Linked DNA regions of Canis lupus familiaris. The protein of the gene in region 4 binds, or shares a complex with, the protein of the main gene of each other region. Links are inferred from orthologs where the notes say so. Each region holds a gene or a part of one and is shown on either strand. Other genes may lie near its edges. The genes, in order: PDRG1, MBTD1, MORF4L1, RUVBL2, WDR92, MEAF6 and ING3.

Region 1 (3,832 bases), on a different chromosome or scaffold from region 4:
CTTCCTTATTCTTGATATATGTACTGTACTCCACTGTCTGCAGCTATCAGTTCGTTTAACTAATCTACTATGGGCAGACATCTAGCTTCCAATTCCACCTGCCCACTTTAGGGTCATCATGGGGAAAACACATGCTACTTCTACTTTAAAAACTGAAGATGTAAAATCATAGGCATGGGTCAAATTTGGCTTATGTCAGGTATTCTGTTTGGCCAACACCCAAGTCTTTAAAAATGTCTGCATTAGCAATATTTAAAAGACAGAAAAGATTCAACTTAAAAATCCAAATTTCTAGCTTCTCTGAAAACAAATGTTAAGATCTGGCCATACCAGCTTGTGTTTCCATATAATTATGGGTTGGAGCCAAGTGGGGTGAGGGGACCCAGGTGAGGCACGTGCTCTCCATTCTGCCGCCATCACTGTTACTGCCTATCTAATCCTGCTATCATTTCCCAGCAGGAGCCACTGCCCCTTTGTAGTGGTGTGCTTGAGGCAGTGTGCCCTCCATTAAGAATGAGATTAGGTAAAGAACAGAAGCTCCTGTTCATTCATTTAGGAAACATTTATTAAGCCCTCAATGAACATTAAAGAGATGGTGCTGTCCTCACAGCACATTCACACCAAGATCCGAGACCACTGAGGGCAGGCGGGAACTGAGTGGTGCTGGCCAGGCCCAGCCTTCAGAGGTGGTGGAGGGCCTCATGAAGAGGCAGCTCCCTCTCCCACCCCCAGTACAGAACTCTGTAAGGCTTTCCTGACTAAACAGCAAGTGCAGGAGTTTGATAAGCAGCACCCACTCTGGGCTCCATCTGAGGGGCAAGCAGAAAAAAAGGGGCCAAAGTGGAGGCAGTGGTGGGGAATGGTATGTCTGCCCCACAGATGGCTGTGGTGAACGATGGAGCACCAAGATTCTATCCTTTCAGAAACCACCTACCTGTGAGCCTCCTGCTTTATTCCAAGTCCATTACATGATGTTTGAGAATGCCTCTCTTCCTGAAAGGAATGCAGGAATCATGCTCCCCGTCACTCCCCCGCCACTGCCAGGGGCCCATGTGAACAGCAGGCTCTTGTTATAAGTGCCTGTTTCGGTCATTCTCACACCCCCAAAGCACTGCCCCCACCCACCACTGGTGGCTGCCAGGACCTATCAATGGGTCTTGTGTCCATCCAACTCCAGTGGCCAGACCCAACAGACACTGGCAGGCTGAGGGCTCCCTCCTGCCATCACAGAGCAGCCAATCCCCACAGACAGAGGCTTCTCATGCTCAGACTCCTGATGCCTATCTCCTAGCAGAGTAGTTCATGTCCTTGCAGGTTACAAAGTTGGAGAGTCCTGGGTCCGCCATGACCTCAGGGGGGATGCTGTCTTAGATCCCTCATTTTGGTTTTTGAGTTTCATCCTTTTAAGATGATCTTCAGAGCTTTAAGTTCATCCTGGTTGAGGGGGCTCAGGTTAAAACCCTTCAGCTCTGGCTTGCCTAGGGGGAGAAAACAATCATCAGCAAGTTGGGCCTCCTGTTGTCCAACCTCCTGCTGGCTCTGGAGTCAGGCCCAGGAAAGGGGTTTATGCTGCATTCATGTGCCAAACACTTGGCCCAAGATCTAGTGGGGGAGGGCCTCAAATTCTGCAATGCGTTGGACAGGGCACATGAGTCACCGAAAACCTGCAGAGCCATGATACTGCTGCCCAGAAACCTACCAATTTCTGCCAAACCTGTGACCAATCTGGAGTGGTTAGCTTTACCCAGAAGTTCAGCTCTGACCTTGACCATCTGACTGAGGCCCTCTCTGTTCCCCTCAGACAGAACTGTTCTGGTTCCTATACCACGCCCAGGATATAATGTGAGATACCCCAGACTGTTCCCCTTATGGCTGGAAAAAAGACTCGTGAGAGGAATAAGACCCCATAAACCTTGTCCATTCCATCTCTGGGCCTGCCAATAGCCTCTGTGCGGCTCACATGCTGCCTAGGCCCTCGCCCGCCTACCTAGGAAGGCCTCCCACATTGACAGTTCTCTCCCAGCCCGGCTTCCAGTTCCCTCCAGGCCCATACCTTGGGCCTCAAAGAGGCGGTTGACCTTCACTTTAAGTTGTTTCCGGAGTTTCTCTATTTCTTTATCCAGATGATCCTGATCTGAAAAAAATGAGGTGGGCACCGGATGGGGTTATACTACAGACACACTGACCAAAGGCAGCTGGGGAAGTCAGCTTCTCCTAGCCTCCTTGAAAGCAAGGGCTCCTGGCATTCGAGAAGAAGGGGACTTCAGAGACCAACTGAGGAAGGAACTAAAGGGCTAGAGAAAGGGAGGTGGTCTGCCCAAGGCGGCTGAGTGAGTCCAGGCAGAACTGAGCACCCGCCTCTCCATCCAGTGACCTGTTTTCATTATGCAATGTACCCTGGGCTGCTCATAGGTGGAGAAGGCAATATCTGGACTTTAGGACCCCCTCCCACAGTGAAATTCCAGAAAACAGAACCATCAGACCAGAATGAAGAACCTAGACTCAGCACATCCAAGATGATTGGACAAAGTGTGGCTAAGGAATCTTACAAACCTAAGTCCATCAAAAACCTAAGCAGTTTTTAAGCAACATGACCATAGTAACATGTGATCTGAACAATCAATGGGCAAATCAGGTGCTCAAGCTTAATCTAATTAACTGTGGTGAACAGAAAAGGTTATCTTGCCCAGATGGATCACATCTGAAGGCAAACTGCACTATAGGAAGTACAGGCTACAAAGCTTGGTGATGCAACTGCCTAATGTCACCTGACTTCACCTGCTCATGAGTGTAGTGCTGGCTAGTTGGTCTTCTCCACAGATTTTCATTCTTTCTGATGGAGAGAAGCTCTGAGCAGCCGAGCCCTCTGGCCTGGGCAATGGTTCTAGTACTCATGGTAAATGAGCAACGCTAGTCTCTTACAAGCTTATTTAACTTGCATCAACCCCTAAGAACTGGTGATGATAATATCTCAGAATCCTTCTAGGTATGGCAACAACCCACAACTGTGGGCCAAGACAGCTGAGAACCTGAGTGGCCAGCAGCCCACCACCCAAGTGCAATGACGACTCTTAATTTTATAGTCATAACAGTAGTGTGTATTTTTTCAACAGGAAGGTGGAAACTTCTCTAAGGTGATCTAGTCTCCTTTGCTATAATTTTATTTCAACAGGGATAGGGAGCCTCTGCCTTCAGGGACAGAGGCGAACTTGCTGGTCCTCTTGGCACATACATTTTTGATGGGGGAATATGCATAATCTTTCGTTTTTCCAGCCAAGGACCCATCTGTACCCTCCCTTTTGTACTTTTATGATGCTCCTCCAAAGAGCCCCCAGGATCATGCCTGCGAAGATTTGAGTAACATGCTAAGTACCCAGGCTGTGGCACACTCTAGAGGCTCACTCTCCTCAAACCTCCATTTTCAGTGCAATCTCTATGGCAGGGGATGTGAAAAGTAAAAGTGCCTCTGCCAGGCTCCCTTGCAGCTATGGTGGCCACATGACTTAGTTCTGGCCAATGAGATGTCAAAAGTCTCTGAGGACGACAGCATTATTTTGAAATAGAAAGCAAGGCCATGTATGGAAAGCCCTCTGTTGCTCCTGCAGCCTGGCCTATGGACATGAGGCCTGAGATGACACAGCCACTATGAGAATACATGAGGGTGACCTTGCTGGATCTCAGTGCCAGTCTTAGACTGCCCACCTTTGGACAACTACTAACAAGAAAAACAAAACTGTATTTCTTTAAGCCTCCACTTGGGTTTTCTTTATCTGTGGTCCAGCTCGTTCCTCACTGCTAAACAAGCACTAGGCTAAGTACACATACAGTTTTA
Region 2 (3,709 bases), on a different chromosome or scaffold from region 4:
AAGCATTTCTTTAACTTTTTTTTTTTAAAAGATTAAAAAAAGGATTAATTTTCAGTAGGTTTACATATTATTTCAAGAACTACTTGTACTGTATTCTTTACCATATATATTTTAAAATATTATGGTGATAATTTTTCCTGTCCGTTAAAATGTAAGAGTTTCTGTTTATTGAAAAGGTTTGCCTTTTATGGCATACTGCACCTTTAAGCAAAATACATAATGCACAGTCATAGGTTCTCACAGGGATATTAGTTTCTATGCAAGAATACTGTGACCCCAATTGGTTAACAACTTAGGAAATGTATATAAACACCATGTGGTGACCCACTTTTCTTATGTCCTTTGTATTGCTGGGACTTAGCCTTTTTCTTCTGTTTTGATGAACCTGATTGGCTTTCTCTTGATGCTGAAAAATAAAATGGAAAATTGGTACCAAGTAAGCATTGCAAACACATGAATCTAAATACAATTTAAGATGAATTATCTTTACCAAGGCCATTATACTTAAAAAAGTACAAGATGCTTTGAAAATAAGGGCGCTTGTTCTGTAAAACCCATGACACCAGACAGATTCCATTATTTATTCAATAAGAACTTATTATATGCCAGTAAATGTTAGCCTGTAATTTCAAACTCATTAAAACAAGTCTAGATGACTTTGGTGGGTACTCTTACTGTGGGGTTTCTTTCTATAGTCATCATGTAATTGACTACTGAGTTCACACTGCTGTGGTACTCATGGTCTGATTCTGTGATATTGTTGTTGAGTCTTAAGATCTTACCTGGCAACCAATCAGACAAAGGTATATTCTTGTCCTGTGAGCTCACAAGATGACTTATGTGAAACAGTCCTCTGGAGAATTGCGGATTTTTACAAAAGGACACCTTTTCTGTATACCAACTTACACTGTGACGCCGGAGGCTGTAGCTGATATCCGGTTAATTGACACCACCCTACAGGATAGAGGTCAGGGGACTCACAGTCTACCCACTGATCATATTCTTCTTCCCATCCATCAAAATGTATCCTCAAGAGACGATGAATAATTCGAGTTACTGTGGCTACACATATTAACCGTGGCTCCATGAGATCTACTGCTTCTAATTTCATTCCTACACGAAATCCGTGATTTGGAACATCCTGACACAGAGAAGCAGAATATTACCATGGGTGAAAAAAAGAATGCATGAGTTCACAATCACCGAGAGAGAAAAAAAGAAAAAAAGCAACATAACCAGATAACCTAATTTAAACCAAAAAAATTGCAAATGATTCTTTAGTTATTAAAACATATGTAGGTGAGAAGTATTTAAGAACTGATTAGGAAATGTATTCATTTCTATTTTACTCAGATTAAAAATGAAGCAAAGTTTGAAAATAAGCTTCATTTCCTAGGTAAAGAAAATATGTTGTTTTATTACTATAAATATGTTTGTTTATACTAATTTCCATTAATAATTTCTCATATAGTGACTATCATAAATAAATAAAAATAAAAAAAGAATTTCTAATATAAACCAAAGACATTTTGATCAACAATGATTTGCATTTGTGAGGCATCAAAAAGCTGTACATATTATGCCATTATTCAAATTTACCTTATTAAATAGTTTTACTGGTGCTGCAATGGAGCCAGTTTCCCTGAGGTAGTCAAACCATTTAAAAGGAAGTTTTGTATAACCTGAAAAACACACCTGATTTAATCAGCAGTTCATTTAAAATTAGCAAAATATTAAAATGTAGATAAAAAACTGACTCATTACACACTAAGATCTCAGGTTTTAGATTTTATAATAAACTTTTAACTCTTGCTCTAATATTGTCAAATGCAGTCATTCTTCTGTGTTATAAGGATTTCATTCCATTTCTAGACAGACACAGGTGCACCTACTTACCTAACGCAAAAGTGTCTCAATCCTTTTACAGACCTTTGCTTTTAAAATCCTACACGTAGGAGAGTATAGCATTTCATATTTCACAGTGATATTTTTCTTTCTTTTCAAGTAAGAAAACTGGTTGGGTAAATACTATTTTTATAGACCTCTGTTCTTTTCTTAGGAGAAAAACACGAGGCTCAGATATTGAAATTAGGAAAGACACTGGTTAAGCCTTGAAAGCTATTTAAGGGTAAGTCTTTTTTTTTTTTAAGCCACATGATATTCTAAAGATGGAAACTTGCTTTCCCTCAAAGGCTTTAGCATGTATCTATTTTTAACAAAAGTTCATGTGTACAATTACCTACATCGCCATCTCCACAGGGCTTAGAGAATACCAATTCATATTATAAAATGTACAGATGCTCAGGAAAACTTATATACTAATGTAATTTATTAAAGCTAGCTAGAATACAGTGCCTTATATTTTTAGAGTACCCCTCAGCGCTTGGTATGGGTATGTACGTTTAAATGTACATACACACATGTATCATAGGTTCACAGAGTAGAAAATCCAGGGCTGTGTTAAATGATATTAGTAAATACCACGCAAAAAAAAGAGGGCAAGGATGATGACCCAGTGTACATATAGGATGAAGTACCTCTAGGTGGAGTGAGCTCAATCATGTTAATTTCACAGAAACCAACAGGGAAAATCGAAGGGGAGGTTGCATGATAACAGAACCAGTCAGATCCATCTGCTGCTTCTGAGCCATCGATCCCAATCATCAGGAATCCATCAGCCAGCACCTTTTCAATGAAGAGAATTCCAAGTATTTGAAATTAGATATCACTACTATAAAAGTGATCCTTTAAGTGACATTCTAAAAGAAAGGAAAATGTATTACATAAAGGTCTCTTAAAAGTGAAAAATGCTTCTTCACTGAATTGTGTTAGTAACTGAAATAGTAACGAGAAACCTCCACAGATTGCGGTGTGTACCAGAACAAAAGCAGGGTTACACAGAAGTGACTTCGGAGGTCTAGGACAAACAGTGCCTTTTGCCAATAGTAAGGTGCTGGCTGCTGTGGCCCATGAAGCAGGGCCCAGTGCTCCTCTCCAATTTAACTGTCTAGTCTCGGTAGGGTTCTGAGTCCTACTCAGTATAACTTTCCTTCTGATTTAGCAGAAAGGGTTTTTTCCAAACTTTTTCCCACCTTTACCAATCCTCCACTTTACCTCTCTTATGCTACAGATACCCATGCTCCTGTGTAAGAATCTAAGGCCACCCTGCGCAAGGGTCCCCATACTCCTTTCTTCGTGCCCCTGTTTTGAGATGTAATACCCTACCCCCAACACAAACCTTTCCATCATGTCCTATTACTGCTGGAACTTTGCTCCACAAACACTATTTCTTATACTCTAATGTCTTTCACTATCAATTTTAAAATATTTTATTTTGAAACAGTTCACATTTACAGAAAAGGTACAACAGTATGATGAACTTCTACATACTTTACCCAGAGATCCACTTCCAGGTATATTCTATGTAACTCTTTGCAGTCTGACTTCTGTCCCAAACCTTCTACAATGCTAAATTCACCAGTGACCAAGTTTGTCAGATCTATTGCCTTTCCTGCAACACTTACCCTCCTCAAATCTCAGCCTCCCTGAAGTATCTCATACTTGCTGACTACTCTCAGCTTTCTAAAATGTTTTCTCCCTGACTCTCATTATGTAGTTTACTGGCCAATCTTTCCACCTCTCCTGTGTGGTGATGGTCCTGTTGGTGGCATCCTCTTACCTCCAACCCTTACATTTCTGATGTTGGCCC
Region 3 (3,709 bases), on a different chromosome or scaffold from region 4:
CCCTGCATGGAGCCTGCTTCTTTCTCCCTCTGCCTGTGTCTGTGCCTCTCTCTCTCTGTCTCTCATGAATAAATAAAATCTTAAAAAAAAAAAAAAAGAACACAGGTGGTGGCTAGGAGAAACCTAGAGCTCTGACAGGCATTCCTTAAACACTTATTCTATATGACAAAACTAAAGGAAAAACACTGACAATGGGCCCTAATTATATAATCTATAAACTATACTTAAATGAATCGCAGCAGCAAAGAATCACGAACATTCTTGCTTCAACCTTCTTGCTTACAGTTAATTAAAAAGCAAGCTTTCAAAAAAAAAAAAAAAAAAAAAAAAAAAAGGGATCCCTGGGTGGCGCAGCGGTTTGGCGCCTGCCTTTGGCCCAGGGCGCGATCCTGGAGACCCAGGATCGAATCCCACATCAGGCTCCCGGTGCATGGAGCCTGCTTCTCTCTCTGCCTCTCTCTCTCTCTCTCTCTGTGACTATCATAAATAAATAAAAATTAAAAAAAAAAAAAAAAAAAAAATTAAAAAAAAAAAAAAAGCAAGCTTTCTCATATTGCAAAAATTTCCTACAATAAACTGCTAGTGCTGTTTCTTTCTCTAAGCCCTATGACCAAGTATATAGTCAAAATATTAGCTGTTAGATTTCAATTTAAATAAGAGAAGTCCTAAGTCACTCTTAAGAAAAGCCATTCCACTAAACAATGAACCAAAGCACAACCTTTTGAAGCCAAAGTACTAACAAACATCACGCATATTCACTATTAGTTTAGGGAAAAAAAGTTTAAGGACCAAGATGTTAACAAAGTTTACTTTACTTCTCTATGCATATTCAGAAAAAGAACAATTACTAAACCCTAAAGATCAAGTAGGATAAAACCAAACATTAAAAATTGTATCAAAAAAATGTATCAAAACTCAAATCAAAATGAAAGAAATGGGGGAAAAATATTGTCAGGTTTAATTACTCATTATTTCCATATACTTTAAAATATACCTGCTATTCTACTAGGGAAAAGCAATGCTAAAAATTACTTGAGGTCTTCTCTAACCACCCAGATAATGAGCTCAATAAAATGTCATCTTTCCTACTAATAAAGGCTCTTGGAGAAAAAGGAAGTTCCAGGTCTTAGGGCACAAAATTTACCAGGTGATCCTAGAATATACCTTTATCCTACCTGATGACACAGAAGACCCAAAACACCTAGAAGCCCTCAAAAGGACCCAGGAGTCCATAAATGTGAAGAGGTCCCAATTCTCCAAGGAAGGGAAAGTTGAGTTTAAAGCTTTACTTCAGAGACAACCGGGTGGCTCAGCCGGTGAGTGCTGCCTTCAGCCCAGGGCCTGATCCTGGAGACCTGGGATTGAGTCCCACATTGGGCTCCCTACATGGAGCCTGCTTCCCCCTCTGCCTGTGTCTCTGCCTCTCTCATGAATAAATAAAAACCTTAAAAAATAATAAATAAATAAATAAAACTTTATTTCATGTAATTACTGAACCATTTTTATATGTACGCTTTATATTCAAATACTAAGTTTTTAAGTCTACTACTATGTAGACTAATTTTCTACACCAACTTTTAACATGATAAAGGATTAACATATCAAAAATATTATTGTACTGGAATGCCTGGGTGGCTCAGCGGTTAAGCATCTGCCTTCCACTCAGGGCGTGATCCTGGAGTTCCAGGATCGAGTCCCACATCAGGCTCCCTGCATGCAGCCTGCTTTTCCCTCTGCCTGTCTCTCTCATGAATAAATAAAATCTTTTAAAAAATATGTATTATTTTATTGATATAAATCCATCATATTCTCCCATATGAGAAAACTGCTGACTTTTAAGACTCACTTGCTATTAAAACCCTAATGAATACTACCACATGGCAGTTTTCCAAAAAACTGCATCATTTGTTATTGTTTATTAATGAAAGCTACAGGACACCCTCAGTGGCACACCCACTCCCTGGCCATCAATTATCACCTCAACCTTCCAAACGTCTAATTACCTTCATGACTAACATCTCACATTTAGGTAGTAAAGTCAGACCAGACCGCTAACTGTAAAGCAATACGATATAATTCTAAGGAAAAACTTCTTTGATAAATCATATTTTAGAGCACTGTCACTTTTGATCCTTTGACAAGAATACAACCTCTCATTAAACTACCTGTTTTTAAAGGAGAATAATCAAATCACAAGAAATAAAATGATCTTTTGTTTTTTTTTTAATTTTTTTAAATTTTTATTTATTTATGATAGTCACACAGAGAGAGAGAGGCAGAGACATAGGCAGAGAGAGAAGCAAGCTCCATGCACCGGGAGCCCGATGTGGGATTCGATCCCGGGTCTCCAGGATCGCGCCCTGGGTCGAAGGCAGGTGCCAAACTGCTGCACCACCCAGGGATCCCAAATGATCTTTTGATTAAAGTTTTTGTCATATGTGTATGACTTCCACACAGTTTTTTTTTTTTTTTACCAAGATATTCTAAATCTTAAGAGTTAACAAGAAATGTTTCCTCTCCCATGGGGTGGACAGGTAATTTGAAACTGTTAACATCTCACACATTCTTACCATGGGTTTCAAGAGAAGAATTAAACTAGTATTTATTTTTAGTGCTAGAGGAGAACCAAATCTACCCAAAAAATACCTTACCTGACTTGTATCCAACTGATAATACTCTAAAAAACATACATGCACAAATACATCTTAAAAAGTAAGGGTTGTGGAAATACTCAATGCCACTGAATTATACACTTAAAAAGGAGTTAAGTGGTAAATCTTAAGTTACATATATTTCACCATAATAAAAAGGGGGCAGGGTGGTACAAAAACCTAAGGGAAATTAAGGAGTATTTAATTATCACCTATTTTCAACAACCCAACACTTGAGAATGCGATTCTCATTGGCATTTTTCAAGTCAAAAATGTTCCAATTTCCATTTTCAATAAATCCTAAAACATGATAATGAGTACTGAGTTTGAATTTCACGTATAAAACAATATGCAAAATTAAAACAAAGAGAGCTTCTTACACTTCAACATTTTTCTGTTGCAGACCAGATGTCTTCTTTCCTGGGGCAGCCCCTCTCATCTTCCCCTCTGCATACTGCTCCCTTCAAAAATAATTTCAATAAAGTTGTCATTAAATGAGTATGTGGAAAAGTAAATCGTGCCACCTTGATTCCATTTGAGATTTATATTCAAACTGACGTCCCATGTCCCTTTCCAAGTATAATAGAATCAGGAAGGAAGATCACAGTGAGTTTGCAACTACAGGAATTCCAACAACATCCTGCTATTTTCTACCTAACTCTATGGACAGACTCAAGAAATGACCGGTATGCTAACAACTCCTTTTTTCTAGAAAAGGCTTCTCTGATTGCTCGAAGTTAAAGCCCCAACACACAGCAGCTGATAGGTACCAAGAATCATTTTTTAGGCAGGCAGCCAACATGATTTCTACTTTTCCATTTCTCAAAATTAAATTTATAGACATTTCTCATTTCTCATACTCGTGCTGCAAAACTTACTGATTGGCTTTTTGAAGTTCTCGCTGTTTCTGCAGATTGGTGTCCACATATTTGAGTACTCTGCTTTCTGGAACCCATTCATCCCAACTGAAAAAGAGAAGTTAAATTATCATTCAAAATTATTTTTTACTACTATTTAGATTCTGTCCACCAATTACTTTTTAGAGATTCAAGAGGTAA
Region 4 (3,709 bases):
CTTTTTGTAGGGAAAGATGGCAGGACAAAAGGGCTGGAATTCAGGAGGAAGAGAGAGATGGTTTTGGTTTTACATTTTTATTTTATTATATTTTAAAGATTTATCGATTTATTTACATAATCTTTACATCAGAGGCACCCGGGTGGCTCACTTGGTTAAGCATCTGACTTTGGCTCAGGTCATGATCCCGGAGTCCTGGGATCAAGCCCCAGCTCTGGCTCCCTGCTCAGCAGGAAATCTGCCTCTCCCTCTCCCTGTGCCCCCACTTATGCTCTCTATTAAAAAAAAAGAAAAGAAAAAAGAAATCTTAAAAATGGGCAATCTTGACTAATGCATGGGAATGCATTGCTGGGTGATAAAACCAATGACACCCAAGAAGTGAAAACAGGCAAGGGCAGCCACCCTTGTGAGGATGTGGGGTGTTGTAGAAAGAGCAATGAGGTAGGGATGGGAGCTGGCAAAGTTCTTTTTTTTTTTTTTTTCTTCAAAGTTCTAATTTCTTATCTTGGTGGTAGTTCTAAGGAGATTTGTTTTATAATAACATACTAGACCATTCGCTTATTTTACGTGCTTCTTTACATCTGTTGCAATTTACAACAAAAATGTTGGGGCATTTGGGTGGCTCCGTGGTCGAGCATCTATCTGCCTGTGGCTCAGGTTGTGATCCCAGGGTCCTGGGATCGAGTACCGCATCAGGTTCCCTGTGAGAAGCCTGCTTCTCCCTCTCCCTATGTCTCTGCCTCTCTCTCTCTGTGTCTCTCATGAATAAATAAATCTTAAAAAAAAAAAAAAAAAAGTTAAAATTCTTAGCTGAAAAAAAAAAAAAGGGAGCAAATCACCATGACCATGTAAGCTGGATAGGAAACACCTTTTAGGGCTAAGCTGCATAAAATCTCACAGAACAGGTTCTTAAGCCTAACCATTAACTGTGAGATGAACACTAGGTGTTTACCATGACATGTTGGCAAACTGAATTTAAATTATTTTATTTAAGATAAATTTTAAAAAAGAAAAAGAAAGAAAGAACGAACTGTGAGAGGGACACCTGGCTGGCTCAGTGAGAACAGCATGCAACTCTTGATCTTGGGGTCATGAGTTTGAGCCCCGCATGTTGTAGGCAGAGATGATTTAAATAAATAAAAGTTAAAAAAAAAATTTAAGTGTGAGGAACTTCCAGACCTTCTCTGTCATGACACCACTTGCTTTTAACGGCTCAGGGCGTCACTCACAAGTGGATAAACTGGGGCGCCTGGGTGGCTCAGTGGTTTAGCGCCACCTTCAGCCCAGGGCGTGATCCTGGAGACCCAGGATCGAGTCCCGTGTCAGGCTCCCTGCATGGAGCCTGCTTCTCCCTCTGCCTGTGTCTCTGCCTCTCTCTCTCTGTGTCTCTCATGAATAAATAAATAAAATCTTAAAAAAAAAAAGTGGATAAACTGTCAATGACCCCCACAGTACACAGTAGAGGGCTCTGACCTGCAGCTCAAACATCCAACATCCCTTGGGTTCTGGCACCCCATCCTCCAGCCCTGGAGGTGGCCCAGGCTCAGCAGCAGACTCACCGTCCCTGTGGCTGGACGGTCAATCTGGATCTCCACCACTTCCCCTTCAATGATCTCAGTCTCCTCCCTAGGCGGAAAACGGATGTGAGCAGAGAGCCCGAGGCCCAGGCCCTTGCAAATGGCTAACTCCCATGAGCCCTTAGGCATGGGACAAGCCGGACAGGGCAGGCAGGGGTCATCCCAAGGCCACTGCAAGCTAACTCCATCCCCCACACCGGGTCCTGTGCTTACTTGATTCGAACGCCAATAGAGCGCCGGAAGGCCTGGGTCAGTGCCTCTGTCTTACTCATCTCCAGCGAGAAGATCTCACTGCCCGCGATGGCTGTGAACGGGGTGTCAGGGCCCAGGGCCTGTGCCATGCCTGGGGAAGAGGTGGTCTGGGTAAGTGGGGACAGCCTGGCACCAGGTCCCCAACACCTATTCTGTGTCAAACCAGCTCTTCTCCCTCCTCAGGAAGTAGCGTAGGTGAAATACACACAGTGTTGGGGGCAGACAGGGAGACATGGAGAAAGCCAGGGATGGCGGGCTACATAGAAGACCTGGACTCGAACCCCATGCTGACCAGAAGGTCAATTTCATGACCCTATAACCTCGCCAGGGCTTTAGAAGTTGTTTAGCCTTTTAGGCTTGGGGGTAATGAGCAGGAATCAAGGCCAAAAGAGGACTGAAAGAGTAGTTAAGGGTGGTGGCTCTAGAGCCAGACCACCTAGGTTCGAATCCCGGTTCCACCGCTTAGCACCATGTGATCCTGAGAAGTCTTGTCTGTTTGTATCTCTGTATAATGAGGACCACAACAGAACAAGTGCTGGTGTGGGACCGCACCTGCAGAGAAGCGATCTGGGGGTGGCAGGCATGCACTGGTGCTCAACCATGAACCCATCACATGACCTGTAACCAGCCCAGGGACAGGTCTTCTGTCTGGCCTGGGGCTGGCCGGCAGACACCGGGGCTGACCTTGCAGTCACTCTAAGCACCACGTCAAGTCTCACAGACAGGAAGTCACTGGACCCTTCTGACCAGTAAGAGGTGGAAATTCTTCCTGGTCCCCTTTCCAGACATGTGCCACACTCTTGCCTGGATAGCCCCGTCCCATATTGCGTGTCCAGAAGACTCCCAGACACCCTGCAAGTCTTAGCTCAGGGCCTGACTTCTCTGGGAAGTCTCTCCTGACAACTGCCATATCACATCCCTCCCTGCTCCCTCATGTCATGTTAATGTCCCATAGTGTCGCAGCAGAATGTAACCATATGATTAAGTTCTAGTCAATAAGATATAAGAAAAAGTATGGGGCAGATATAAGAAAAAGTATGGCTCAGCAGTTTAGTGCCACATTCAGCCCAGGGCCTGATCCTGGAGACTTGGGATCAAGTCCCGCGTCAAGCTCCCTGCATGGAGCCTGCTTCTCCCTCTGCCTGTGTCTCTGCCTCTCTCTCTCTCTCTGTGTCTCTCATGAATGAATAAATAAAGAATCTTAAAAAAAAAAAAAAAAAAAAATTATGTGGGGGTCCCAAGACAGCTGCTTAACGGGAGCTAACTACTTTTAAAGGTAGGGAGGTACACCCTCACTGCAAGATCTCTTTCTCCTTCCTCCTACATGGGAGTATGGATGGGAAGGCCTGTGCTCACTTCGGCAACACATATACTAAAAAATGGACAGGAAGGCCGAAGCTTAGGCAACCCTCTTGGAACATGAGGTGACTCTGCCATAAAAGTACAGAGGAGGGATCCCTGGGTGGCACAGCGGTTTGGCGCCTGCCTTTGGCCCAGGGCGTGATCCTGGAGATCCGGGATCGAATCCCACATCGGGGTCCCGGTGCATGGAGCCTGCTTCTCCCTCTGCCTATGTCTCTGCCTCTCTCTCTCTCTCTCTGTGACTATCATAAATAAATTAATTAATTAATTAAAAAAAAAAAAAAAGTACAGAGGATATTGAGGTAGAAAGGTGAATACTTGATGGAACAGCTCAACAAGCCCTAAGTGGCTTATGTTCAGATTCTTCTATGTGACAGAATGAAGCAGAGCATTTAAGTCTCTGCCATTTTGGGCTGTCTGTTGAATGTGGCCGAACCCAACCTTGATTTACACAGAAAGGATTAACTGGCAGGGACCAGAAGAGCTCCTGCCCTGAGAGGCCTCTTACCCATGGCGAT
Region 5 (4,322 bases), on a different chromosome or scaffold from region 4:
ACAATGAAGAACCAAGTGTTTCAAGAATTCACCTACCCAGTGGCAGTCAACCCTGGTACCTGTTAGAATCATCTAGCTGAAGTCTTAAAAATACTGATGTCCAGGCCTCACTCTAGTGTAGATGCAAGAGTCCCACGGCATCAGAATTCCCTAAGGTGGGACCATGGCGTGAATATTTTAAAACACACACACCCACCCCACCGACCTCCAGAACGCACTCTGCTGATCCTATGCACAGTAAGGGTTGGGAATCACCAAGCCTGTATTAAACCTACAGCCTTTCCCACTGCACCATCACAGCCAAACGTAATCCAAGTTCTTAAAAGTATTTCTGCGCTAGTTTTATCCTCTCTTTAGAAGAAGGGATTCGTCCCTTGAGTACCTCGGCCCTTCTTCAGCATAGTGTCTTGGCATAGGTTGCCAAGAGATAGAGACAAAGGGCCCTATTTCGCCTTGTAGAACGAGTGTAGTCCTGAAATATGCACAAATCCTACCTTCAAAGCCACAAGTCTGCAAATGCTCTCTGGTTAAATGTGACGGTAGTTGGTATCTGTTCCTAATGCTTCACCTGTAAATTTCTGTCTCCTATTCCAAGGTTTCCCAGTTGTTCAAACCCTGACACCTGTTGGTTAATGATCCATAAACCAATTATTTAAATTTTCCAAGTTACATCCTTTTACAGGTATACGTACACTCGTGCTTTTAACAGGTAATTTATTGAGCGGCTGAACCTTACAAGCCGCGCTCATGAAACACACTACCCTTACTCCCCAGGAGCTTACGACCTACTTAGAGACAAACGGGACACAACTTCTGGAGCGGACCCTAAGTACCCGAGGAATGCAGTGTCAGGATGTGCTCCTGTGGGGATCAAGTCATCCGAACTGGACCCTAAAACAGCAACGGGTGCCTGGGGGCTAACCAGTGAACCACAGAAGACAAGGCGAAGACGACCAAGCCATGCTTAGGAACTCTGACCCAAGTACTCGGCAAGAAAAGACAAACTGAACGAGAAAACCAGCACTCGGAGAAATTTACAGTTAGACGGGATCTCATGTACCTTCTAATCCAAGCCTGCAGATCCAAACTGTATTGATCCTTTAGCTGACAGTTTAACACCTGCCTCGTCCAAGCAGATGCTCTCCAGTTGTTTTTAGTTTTTTTTTTTAAGATCTAATTTATTCATGAGACACAGAGAGAGAGGCAGACCCAGGCAGAGGGAGGAGCGGGCTCCACGCAGGGAGCCCCACGTGGGACTGGATCCCAGGACCCCGGGGTCACGCCCTGGGCCAGGCAGGTGCTCCACCGCGGAGCCCCCCGAGCCCCAGTTTCTTTTACTCTCGCAGAACCGTGTTCCTTTATGGTAGAGAATTCATGTCGGTTTGTATTTATGCATCCTCGGCCTGATTATTTAACGGATCGTGGCTCCCCCGCTGGAAAGTAAACGCCCGAGAGCGGGGACGCTGTCATTCACGTGCCTGCGACACCGGACACCGGGCCAGCGCCTCCGCCACCTACGCAGGCACCTCGGCTTCTGCTTCTATCAAACAGCAGTTTAGGGCAGCCCGGGACGGGGACGGGGACGGGGACGGGGACGGGACGGGACTCAGCGGTGGACCCTGACCCGGACTCAGACCCCGACCGGGACCCCGGACCCCAACCTGGAGCCTGACCTTGACCCGGACCCGGACCTGAACCCGGACCCCGACCCGGACCCCGACCCGACCCCGACCCCGACCCGGACCCCTACCCGGCCCCGACCCGGACCCGGACCCCTACCCGGCCCTGACCCGGACCGGACCCCGACCCGGACTCTGACCCCGACCTGGACCCTGACCCGGACCCGGACCCGGACCCCAACCCGGACCCGGACCCCGACCCGGACCCGGACCGGGACCGGACCCCGGCCCCGACCCGGACCCCGACCCGGACCCCCACCCGGACCCTGACCCGGACCCCCACCCGGACCCTGACCCGGACCCGGATCCCGACCCGGACCCCAACCCGGACCCGGACCTCTACCCGGCCCCGACCCGGACTCCGACCCGGACCGGACCCCGACCCCGACCCGGACCCCGACCCGGACCCTGACCCCGACCCGGACCCCCACCCGGACCCTGACCCGGACCCGGATCCCGACCCGGACCCCAACCCGGACCCGGACCTCTACCCGGCCCCGACCCGGACCCCGACCCGGACCGGACCCCGACCCCGACCCGGACCTCTACCCGGCCCCGACCCGGACCCCGACCGGGATCGGACCCCGACCCGGACCCCTACCCGGCCCCGACCCGGACCCGGACCCCGACCGGACCCCGACCCGGACGCTGACCCCCACCCGGCCCTGACCCGAACCCGGACCCCGACCCGGACCCCAACCCGCACCCGGACCCGGACCCCGACCCGGCCCTGACCCGGACCCGGACCCCCCCCCCGCCCCGGTCCCCGCCGCGCCCACCTCCCGCAGCAGCTTCAGGTCCCCGTGCTGGATCTCGTACAGCTGGACGACGCCGGTGCCCCGCGCGAAGTTGCCCATGGTCACAAACTTGGCGCTGCAGGGCACCCACTTGCAGTCAAACACCGTGTAGTTGAGGCCCTTCTGGATGTGGGCGATGATCTGAGGCTTCTCGAAGGCCGACATGGCGCCCCCCGCCCCGGCCCCCGGCCCCCGGCCCCCGGCCCCCGGCCCCACGGCCCCGCCGGCGCGCCCCGAGAGCGCTAACCGGGAAACCAGACCCCAAACAGCAACGACAGCTTCCCCCTCCCGCTCGCCGTAGCCGCCCCGGGCGCCCCGGCCGGTCGGTGTAGTCGTCCGCGGCCGTGCCTGACGCGCTGCTCAAGTCGCGGAGACGTTTCCTCCCCGACGGCACGCACTCGGCTCCCGTCTTCACCTGCTGCCTCCCGTGCACACCCACGCTGGGAGGCCCGAGGCCCCGGCTGCGGCCGGCGAAGCCAGGGCGGCGCCCCGGGAATCAGGCACGTGTTGGGGCGTCCTCCCTTCCGCCGGCCCGCTTCAGGCCCCCTGCAGGACCCCGAGGGCACGGGGCGGGGCCCTGCGGCTCGTTGGCCGACGCAGCCCCGCCCCCGCGACGTGCGCCTGCGCAGTGCAGCGGCGCCCGCGTCGGGGTCGGAAGCACATGTTGGCGCCGGAGCTCCGCGGGGATGGAGGCGGAGACGGAGATGGACGCCCAGAGCGCCGCGGCCGGGGACGGCTTCACCCCGGTCGCCCGCAGGGGTGCTCGGCGGGCGAAGAAACGGCGGGCTGAGCAGCTGTCGGCGGCGGGCGAGGGCGCGGACGCGGGCCGCATGGACACGGAGGAGGCCCGGCCCGCGAAGAGGCCCGTATTCCCGCCCCTCGCCGGGGATGGAGTCCTGGTACTAGCGGGGACCGCGCGGCGGGGCCGGGGCCTGCGGGTGCTGCCGGAGCTGCGGGGCTGCTCCCGAGGGAAGTCCTTAAGATTTTGCTAATTCATGAGAGACACAGGCGGAGGGAGAAGCAGGCGCCCTGCGGGGAGCCCGACGCGGGACTCGAACCCGGGACCTGGGGTCACGCCCTGGGCGGAAGGCGGCGCCAAGCCGCTGAGCCCGCCCCGCCCCCTCCTGTCGCTCCGCCCCTCGTCTCGTGGCCCCGCCCCTTCCACACTAGTCCCGCCCCTCGCCTCGTGGCCCCGCCCCTTCCGCACTCGCCCCGCCCCCTCGCCTCGTGGCCCCGCCCCCGCATCCCCCGGGGCATCTTTAGTGAATTCCTCCAAGCTGGGGCTCTGCGCCAGGAGGTTTTAATCCGTCGAGCCCAAGCGTCCTGGGGAAGGACGGCCCGCTCAGGGTTGCACCTGCGGCCCCCGGGGCATCTCCTGACCTGCGTGTCCTTTGATCCTAGGGTGGGAAAGAAGAAACCAGGAAGATTGCCGTCCCGGCCAACAGGTACACGCCCTTAAAAGAGAACTGGATGAAGATATTCACGCCCATCGTAGAGCACCTGGGGCTTCAGATACGGTTTAACCTGAAATCGAGGAATGTGGAAATTAGGGTAAGGAGGATGTCAGCCAGTTCCCAAATGTTCCCAAATGTGTCGGGGTCTGTTGCTCTCCTGCGGGCGGGGGTGAGAAGGCGTGAATAGACTTCGTTTAACGGGGATTTGTTTTGTTAAATGGCCACACGGAGGAGTCTTCAAAATGTGCATGCATTCAACCCAAGTAGTCGTTGGATCGGGCTGGCATCCCGCCGCCTGCAGCCCAGGGCGTGACCCCGGGTCCCCGAATCGAGTCAGCATTGGGCTCCCTGCGTGCACCTGCTTCTCCCTCTGCCTGGGTCTCTGCTTCTCT
Region 6 (3,709 bases), on a different chromosome or scaffold from region 4:
AATTAGACTGGATGGCTTACATAGAATGATACAATTTCTTTACAAAGTAAATACTATCTACCCTATGTTTTATATTTAAGAACACATAGGTACATTCTGTTCACAGGATCAGATTTTCCTAAGAATTATTAAAGTGGGGACATGGAGAGTTATCAGATATGTCTGAAATTAAAAAAAAAAAAAAAAAACAAAAAAAAAACAAAAAAAACTCCCTAACACTTATCAGCAGCAAAGACATATCTCTGTGTCTTTGAATAGCTACAGTCAACCTCTGCATGATAGAAGAGGCTAGAGGGACACGGTTTCTTCCTCCACAACAACAAAAAGACAGGATTAAAGAGACTTAAAGGTTTCCCTAACTTCTAGAAAAAAGAGGCAAGAGTATAAGAGATGTAGTCTTCAGAGACATAGTCGGATAGGAGGTAAAGACAAACCTAAAAATGAAATAATAAAGAAGTTAAAAAAAAAAAAAAAACTTACTCTTTTCAATGAGCTGATCCTGAACTCCTGCCAATGCACTTACTGCCTAAAAGAAAAAAAAAAGAAGAAACCTGTTACTAGAAAAATTATCACAGACCTCCGGAGAGCCCCCGGACAGCAGGGAGAAAGGGAACTAGCAGAAATTTAACTGAGGGGTTTCTCCCCAATGGGCCACAGAAAGATTCCCCCCACTTCACTTACAGCTGCCGAAGTAACTGAGGATTTACTGAAGAGTCGCTCAGCTTCCTTAAACTTCCGGTTCCTTCGGTCGTTTTTGCTATTGGAGTTTCTAAAACACACACAAGAAACTCATAAGCACCAAGCTGAATCTATGGCTCGAGTTGAGGATGGCCCAGGGCACAGTAAGGAACTCTCTCACTGTCTTTTTTTTTTTTTTAAGTTACGAGCTTTCAGACAGAAATGCCTCCACACCTTCTGGAGTGACCGACAGGACCCTAACGCTAAATGCCCACCCAGACAGCAACGGTTTCCAGCGCATAGGGGGGTGCTCCACTGTGGGACATTACTTCAGTTGGGTCACTGTCATTAACATTTTCATATGTATTTGATACTTATTATTAAAAACGGCTAGCATAGACTAGTGATATGAAATGGTTTTGTCAGATAAGCTTAATGTAAAAAATGTAATGAGGGATGCCTGGGTGGCTCAGGGGTTGAGCATCTGCCTTTGGCTCAGGGTGTGATCCCAGGGTCCTGGGATCGAGTTCCCATCGGGCTCCCTGCAGGGAGCCTGCTTCTCCCTCTGCCTGTCTCTGCCTCTCTGTGTCTCTCGTGAATAGGGAAAAAAAAACTTAAAAAAAATTTAAAGAACAAGCCAGGGTTCCTTAAGGAAATGGCTGGTCTCAGTTCTGGGATAAGAAAAGGGCAAGGTGAGGCTAAGAGACCCTGCTAGGACAGAAAGCAGCAAAATGCCTGAAGACTAACAGAGTCTAATAGGGTCACATCAGCAGGACAAAGGAGGCTTCCTCTGGCCATATTTGGGACAAATCAAGCACTGGAAAGGATAATGATGGGTGTGTTTGCTTCGTGAAAAGTCATCAAACTGTATGTTTATGACGTATGTGCTTCTCTGCATGTATTTCAGTAAGTTTATAGCAAAAAATAAACCTCCACAATAAAAAAGTAACGGTACTAGATTCCCACACACTGATTTTTTTTTTTTTTTAATCACTGGTCCTGGGGCACCTGGGTGGCTCAGTCGGTTACATGTCTGCTTTCAGCTCAGGTTGTGATCCCAGGGGCCTGGGGGGCTCTCTGCTCAGTGGGAAGCCTGCTTCTCCCTCTCCCTCTGCCTGCCACTGCCCCTGTTGTGCGCACTCCCTCTCCCTCTCTCTCTGTCAAATAAATAAAAATCTTAAAAAAAAAAAAAATCCATTGGTCTCTAGTGATACTAAAGAGAGAAGGCCAGAGATACAGAACGAAAGGGCGAGAAGATATGAAGGGAAGATTCTTCTTTCTGAATACCAGTGATCCATGTACCAGGACGAGTAAAATCAGAATCCACAGTACATCAAATGAGTCGGGTAAAAATCAACAATGGATACTAAAACCACTGAATAAAAATTTGGAAAAGCGGTATATTCACACTGCCTAAAAGTACAGCCCCCAAACTACCTATAAATTACAGAGAACAAATAAATTTTTACAACGGAGAAATCATATGCTCCATCTTTGTACCAATAATGGGACAATCTGACACTATGTGCCTCCCAATAAAATTGAGGTAAACAACACACCAGGCATACAAATCATTTATGCAATATTTTCGCCAAAAATCCTTAAAGGATCTCTCATCACAAAAGGAAAAATCTGGAATTGGAACATTCTGCAAGACAGTGTCACGAACAACTTTACTGCCAAAAAGGGTGGGGGACTCTCTTAACTCTCTTAAATGAAGAGACAAGAGAGACATAATAGCCAAATATTGATACATGAACACTGAAGGGATCAAAACAAGGTAGCAAAGCATGTCGGGGACAATTAGGGGAATTTGAATAAAGACTATAGTAGATGATACTATTAATGTAATGCAATTTTCTATATGCATTAATTGTGGTTAGGTAAGAAAATATTCTTCTTCAAAAAAAGAAAAAAAAAAAAGGGCAGCCTGGGTGGCTCAGCAGTTTGGCGCCTGCCTTGGGTCCAGGGCGTGATCCTGGAGGCCCGGGATCGGGTCCCATGTCAGGCTCCCTGCATGGAGCCTGCTTCTCCCTCTGCCTGTGTCTGCCTCTCTCTATGTATCTCTCATGAATAAATAAATAAAATCTTAAAAAAAAAAAAAAGAAAAGAAAATATTCTTAGGAGGTAAATGCTGACATAATTAGATAGCAAAGTGTCGTGCTATCTGCTTAAATGGTTAACAAAAAAAAGTATGGAGGAAAGGGATGATATAACTATAAAGGGGTAGCAGGTGGGAGATCTTTGTGGTGATGAAATACTTCTGTATCTTGATTGCAGTGGTGCACGCAGGTGGTGCACGCAGGAGTCTACACGGCAGTGACAATTACACACACACATACACATTGTACCAATGTCAGTTTCCTGGATTTGATATTCTACTACAGTTACATAAAGCCCAACCATCGGGAAAGACTAGGTGAAGGGTACACGGGACCTCTGTAATATTGCTGCAACTTCCCATGTATCTGTAATGACATCAAAAATTTTTGACTTTTTTTCTTTTTTAAGACAGAGAGAGAGGAGGGGGAGGGGTGGAGAGAGAGAAAGAAAGAGAATCTTAAGCAGGTTCTATGCTCAGCATGGAGCCTGACATGGTGCTTGATCCCATGACCCTGAGATCATGACCTGAGCTGAAATCAAGAGCCAGATGCTTAACTGACTGAGCCACACAGGTGCCTCTAAAAATTTTAAGTATAGATATGGGTATGTGGGGATCCCTGGGTGGCTCAGTGGTTGAGCACCTGCCTTCGGCCCACGGCATGACCCCAGGGTCTCGGGATCGAGTCCCATGTCAGGCTCCCTGCAAGGAGCCTGCTTCTCCCTCTGCCTGTGTCTCTCATGAATAAATAAATAAAATCTTTAAAAAAAAAGTATAAATATGTGTATGTTTATATACATTAGAGAGAAAGCAAATGTGGCAACATGTTAACAACTGATGAAAGCAGGTCACGGGCATCAAGTGTGCACAGTACTATTTCAATGTCAAACCTGAAGATGTTTAAAACGTTTAGACAGTTCTAAATAGTTA
Region 7 (4,390 bases), on a different chromosome or scaffold from region 4:
TAAAAAAATTTTTCCTTTGTTTAAATAAGCAATTTCTAACTTGTTTTACAAAGAAGTCTCTTTTATCAATCTATAGGATCTATTAACTTTAGAAAATTCTAGTTGTTATAAAATGCAAGTGTATAAAACCTCTCATCTGGGGCGCCTGAGTGGCTCAGCTGGTTAAGCACCTGCCTTTGGCTCAGGTCATGACCTCAGGGTCCTGGGACTGGGTGCCCCCAACCCCAGTCGGCTCCCTGCTCAGCGGGGGAGGCTGCTTCTCTCTCTCCCTCTGCCCCTCCCCTGCTCGTGTGCCTGCACCCACGTGTGCTCTCTCTCAAAGATTTTAAAGAAAATCTTTAAAAAACATAAAAAAATAAAACCTCTCATTTGTATAATCCAATTACAAATCACAAGAGAATTTAAAATTTGTAATGATAACGAAGCAAAAATAAGTCACCTTTTCGTGAACTTCTGCTTTGTATCAGATACTATAAATTCTAGTTTAACTGTGTTATTTTAAATCCTCAGATGATCTCCATTCTATAGACAAGGAAAACCCCTCAGAAGTGGTAATGCGGTCAAGGTCAAAGAGTAAGTCAGCAAAACTCTAATACGAACTCGGATCTATCTGACATCAAGATCTGTGCTCAGTCCCATAGAAAACGCTACTTTAGCATTTCAACTACATGACAGTCAAAATGAATTTTGTGGGCAAGCTAAAGAAACACACAGTTCAGACTCCTACACTATGACCCACTGAACATAAAGAAGGCTTCCGTAGCCCATCACCTTGTATGCCGCATGGCCACATGGAACGCACCAGAGGCTCAGGAACCTATATTCATCACCCGTGGGTATGAAAGCGTGGGGTGCGAGTGTGGGGTGGGGAAGCACGGGGGAAAGGACAGGCCCTCAGGAGCTGCAGGATCCTCAGGGATGCTGGGTCTCTGATTTCTTTCCATGATACCCTTTTCCCCCCAGTCATACCCCCAAACCCAGATCCTCCTCCACCGCTACTTTTCGAGGACAAAAAAAAAAAAACCTAGTGGCATGAGAAACATTTTACGTAGATAGCCTAACCACAGCTAGAATAAATGGGATCAAGGCACGTATTTTCTTGAGGACAGACCGCATGAAGGCCAGCCATTAATATCAACTGCACAAGTTTTTTTGTTTTGTTTTGTTTTGTTTAAAGTAACAAATGCAACTTTAATTGATTTCTGGATAAAAACTACTCAGTGCAGGTCAGTAACCATGGCAGCCCCTGCTCTGTTGGAGCCATCTTCAGGCTCCAACAGCCTCCAAGACCATCTGTTGGACGGTCTTCAGGACCTAGGTCAACGGGCTATTTGCATTATCTCATGTCATCCACAGTATTAGAAAAACATTAGATCAATTTAGACGAGATGCGCTGCTGGCAGCCAAGCCTACATCTACAGAGAGGGTGACATCCGGGCTTAAGCGCACACCCCATTGTACATTTTAATCATGTAACGTAAAAAAAAAATAAAATAAAATAATCGTGTAACGTGTAATTCATTCCGCACTCGTAGTTCACAGTATGGTATCCCTGCAAGAGAACCGGAACGGCTGTATTACATTCATTTCATAAAAGGGGGAGAAGGCCTGTGAGGTTCTTTCAGAGCACGACAGGCGTAAATTCGTACTCGTTTTAACTGTGATTTTGCTCCAAGTGTTGACCTCCTCGTTTCCAAGGCACTGACTCTTTCCTTGCTTTGAGTCAAATCCTTCACAAAAACAAAACAAAACAAAACAATCGGATAAACCAAATACTGCTCTATGAAAGAACAACGGTTAATTTTTTTTGGGGGGGTGGGTGGGTAGGGGGAAGGAACCAGACTACCAAGCTACCACTGATCGATGAGAAGTCATCACTTTTATTGCAACAGATAAGCAGCTTTACAGGAAGGTCTATTTTCCTCACTCGTTTTCATGGGGGGGGTGGGGGGGGAATAGCATCATCCTGCTGGCGGGTGGGAATGCATCCTGCAAGGTGCGGCTTTGCAAGACTCGACATTCCAAGTTCAGCGGGGTCACTAAAGAGCCACACCAACCCCCAGGCTGCTGGGTTTTCCGCTCTGCAGAAAATTCTGAGCAGAACCAACTTCAGCAGAAGTCTAAATGCCGAAATCTACGTTCCGGACGCAAGGGCTCGGGCCAGAAACCACCATCTTCTCCACACCTACACCGACGTGCGTTAAAAGCATGTGTCTACGTCCTCCCCGAGGCACAGAAACTTTTATCCCAGTCTTGAATTCGGGAAAGAAACACACACGCGGGCCCCAGCGCCTCCTCCTCGGGTAAAAGCAAAGGGGGAAGCGGCGTGGACAGCAAGAGGCAAGATGCGGCACTGCCTTGTGTATGTGTGTGTGTGGTTTTATGGTTTTGGGGGGGTTTTTTTGGCGTTTGTTTTTTTTTTTTTTTTTTTTTTAAACGACTCCTTATGCACTAGCCCGTGAGCCGGAGGAGAGTCAGAGAGCAGAGGCGACGACGTCGGTGGAAGGTCTGGCCCCGACCGCGCGCGGCCGGGCGGGCGAACCGCCGACTTACTCTGCACCTGCAGGTCCATCTCGCGCATCTCCGTGAAGCGGTCCCGCAGGTCCATGGGCAGCTGCTCAATCACTGTCAAAGGGAGAGGCCGTCAGCGGGGCGGGGCCAACGGCGAAGGGCGCGCTGACGTCACTGCGTGCGTGCGTGCGTGCGTGGGGGGGGCGAAGGAGCCGGCAGCCCACAGCCCGGCTGCCAGTTACCGTGAGAAAGAAACATCCCCCGCCTCCCCCTCCCTCCCGCCATCCCGCCCGCCCGGCCGCTCGCGCGCCCGCCCGCCCGCGGGTCCCCCAGGCGGCCCCCGCCAGCGCCGCCCACTCACTTTCCAGATAGTCCTCTAGGTACAACATCGCGGCCCTTAGAGCTGGGGCAACGAGGGGGTCCAGGGGTTTATTTGTGTCACTCGCTGTCGCCGGAGTTTTGTCCCTTCCAATATGGCGCCTCCGCTAGCAGCACCCGCTCGGCTTCGGCGGAAAAAAAAAAAAAAAAAAAAAAAGAAAGAAAAAAAAAAACCACTTTGGCGCCTGACGGCGCTTGCCTCACTGCCGCCCGGAGCCGTCATTGGCCGGCTGGGGCGATGACGTCAGCCGGCCGGAGTCCGCCCGCGCGGCTTTGTGGGAAGTGTAGTCCGGTTCCCCCCCACGGCGAGGATCGGCGCGCCCGGCGGTTACCGGCGTGGCAACTACGAAGACCAGGCGGCCTTGCGCCCCGTGCGCCGCGGAATCCGAAATGCGGTGCCTCTGTTTATTTGTTGATGCCGGCGCGGGGCATGACGGGAGTTGTAGGCGCCCGCGGAACCCAAGTAGGAGCAACTTTCCACCTGTTCCCGGCCGGCGTGCCTCGGTGGCCCCGGCGGCTGGGAGTCGCGGGTTTCCAGGCGGGCGGGGCAGGTGGAAGGTGTTCCAGCGCCGGAACGGCCAGCGGAGTTCGGGCGATCCGCATTGTGTAAGACAGAACTCCTGGCTGGAACGCATCCTTAGTCTCCGACTGCTCAAAATACCCACGAGGCGCCTGCTTGGCTTTCCTGCACCTGGACGGGTGGCCGCCCTCCACGCGCTCTTTACCTGCTTTTATTCCGCGGTCCGGCTCGTCGTCACCGTGATGTCATCGAGCTGAACGCACGAAGTGCACCCACCAAAAAAAAAAAAAAAAAAAAAAAAAAAAGCAGAACTAGAGAACAAGCAGAAATAACGGATGGAGACTTGCTGCTGTCGAATGAGCTGTTCTAAGAATGACTTCAGGCGGTGTTGAGTAAGCAGCCCGCCCCCAGCTGTCTACACCCGCGGGAGGGGTCATCTTCTACCCCGGGACCCCTTCCCCGCCCCGTGATGGATTCGGTCCTTCACGGCTCAGTTTTCTTTTTCTTAAGAACATCTGCACGCAGCACAGGTCGAGAGCATCTTTCTCTCCCACCTGCCTTAGCTCTCTGTTCGTTTTCCTGGGAAATGTGTCTTCAGTTCGCCATTCAGTGTTCTATTTTCACTTTTTTTTTCTTTTTTTTTTTTTTTTTTTCAAATTGGAGTCGAGACATTTGATGCATTTTTGAGTTTTCTCCCTTCCGCCCTCTTCTACCCAAGACTTTTTCCACCGCTCATGGTCAGGATGCTCACCTGTCGTGTTGGTGAATGTCAAGGGAAACCCACCTCAATTCTAATGATTACCTAGTTTACTTTCTGTACTTTTATCTAAAATCTAGGATTTTCGGGTTTCCTCCCTCCTACACTCCCTTCTTCGTTCCTTCCTTCCTTCCTTCCTTCCGGCTGCCTTTAAGATCTCTTGGATATTTCTGTGGTTTCTCAGTGGTGAATCTAGGTCCATAGTCATTTCTTTGTTTCCTTCC

The links.
Region 1: RUVBL2 (region 4) and PDRG1 share a complex: the UniProt entries of both Homo sapiens proteins name them as parts of the PAQosome complex. The link is inferred for Canis lupus familiaris from reciprocal best matches to the Homo sapiens genes RUVBL2 and PDRG1.
Region 2: RUVBL2 (region 4) and MBTD1 share a complex: the UniProt entries of both Homo sapiens proteins name them as parts of the nuA4 histone acetyltransferase complex. The link is inferred for Canis lupus familiaris from reciprocal best matches to the Homo sapiens genes RUVBL2 and MBTD1.
Region 3: RUVBL2 (region 4) and MORF4L1 share a complex: the UniProt entries of both Homo sapiens proteins name them as parts of the nuA4 histone acetyltransferase complex. The link is inferred for Canis lupus familiaris from reciprocal best matches to the Homo sapiens genes RUVBL2 and MORF4L1.
Region 5: RUVBL2 (region 4) and WDR92 share a complex: the UniProt entries of both Homo sapiens proteins name them as parts of the PAQosome complex. The link is inferred for Canis lupus familiaris from reciprocal best matches to the Homo sapiens genes RUVBL2 and DNAAF10.
Region 6: RUVBL2 (region 4) and MEAF6 share a complex: the UniProt entries of both Homo sapiens proteins name them as parts of the nuA4 histone acetyltransferase complex. The link is inferred for Canis lupus familiaris from reciprocal best matches to the Homo sapiens genes RUVBL2 and MEAF6.
Region 7: RUVBL2 (region 4) and ING3 share a complex: the UniProt entries of both Homo sapiens proteins name them as parts of the SWR1-like complex. The link is inferred for Canis lupus familiaris from reciprocal best matches to the Homo sapiens genes RUVBL2 and ING3.

Annotation. Positions count from the first base shown.
Region 1 is NC_049245.1:21,881,837-21,885,668, forward strand, and holds the end of PDRG1 (p53 and DNA damage-regulated protein 1), read right to left. Parts: intron 2,135-3,832; coding exon 2,054-2,134; intron 1,479-2,053; coding exon 1,396-1,478; 3' UTR 544-1,395; downstream 1-543. UniProt on the Homo sapiens protein: May play a role in chaperone-mediated protein folding.
Region 2 is NC_049230.1:26,972,921-26,976,629, forward strand, and holds part of MBTD1 (MBT domain-containing protein 1), read right to left. Parts: intron 2,686-3,709; coding exon 2,538-2,685; intron 1,683-2,537; coding exon 1,600-1,682; intron 1,142-1,599; coding exon 907-1,141; exon of another isoform or gene 783-906; intron 407-782; coding exon 329-406; intron 1-328. UniProt on the Homo sapiens protein: Chromatin reader component of the NuA4 histone acetyltransferase complex, a multiprotein complex involved in transcriptional activation of select genes principally by acetylation of nucleosomal histones H4 and H2A.
Region 3 is NC_049224.1:58,626,721-58,630,429, forward strand, and holds part of MORF4L1 (mortality factor 4-like protein 1), read right to left. Parts: intron 3,617-3,709; coding exon 3,530-3,616; intron 3,113-3,529; coding exon 3,032-3,112; intron 1-3,031. UniProt on the Homo sapiens protein: Component of the NuA4 histone acetyltransferase (HAT) complex which is involved in transcriptional activation of select genes principally by acetylation of nucleosomal histones H4 and H2A.
Region 4 is NC_049222.1:108,064,919-108,068,627, forward strand, and holds part of RUVBL2 (ruvB-like 2), read right to left. Parts: coding exon 3,700-3,709; intron 1,921-3,699; coding exon 1,791-1,920; intron 1,627-1,790; coding exon 1,560-1,626; intron 1-1,559. UniProt on the Homo sapiens protein: Possesses single-stranded DNA-stimulated ATPase and ATP-dependent DNA helicase (5' to 3') activity; hexamerization is thought to be critical for ATP hydrolysis and adjacent subunits in the ring-like structure contribute to the ATPase activity.
Region 5 is NC_049231.1:68,525,096-68,529,417, forward strand, and holds the start of WDR92 (WD repeat-containing protein 92), read right to left. Parts: upstream 2,966-4,322; 5' UTR 2,642-2,965; coding exon 2,459-2,641; intron 1-2,458. Other genes in the region: RNA-binding protein PNO1, read left to right, coding at 3,163-3,375, 3,878-4,027. UniProt on the Homo sapiens protein: Key assembly factor specifically required for the stability of axonemal dynein heavy chains in cytoplasm.
Region 6 is NC_049236.1:5,020,020-5,023,728, reverse strand, and holds part of MEAF6 (chromatin modification-related protein MEAF6), read right to left. Parts: intron 770-3,709; coding exon 682-769; intron 527-681; coding exon 481-526; intron 1-480.
Region 7 is NC_049235.1:59,197,592-59,201,981, reverse strand, and holds the start of ING3 (inhibitor of growth protein 3), read right to left. Parts: upstream 2,963-4,390; 5' UTR 2,901-2,962; coding exon 2,873-2,900; intron 2,626-2,872; coding exon 2,554-2,625; intron 1-2,553. UniProt on the Homo sapiens protein: Component of the NuA4 histone acetyltransferase (HAT) complex which is involved in transcriptional activation of select genes principally by acetylation of nucleosomal histones H4 and H2A.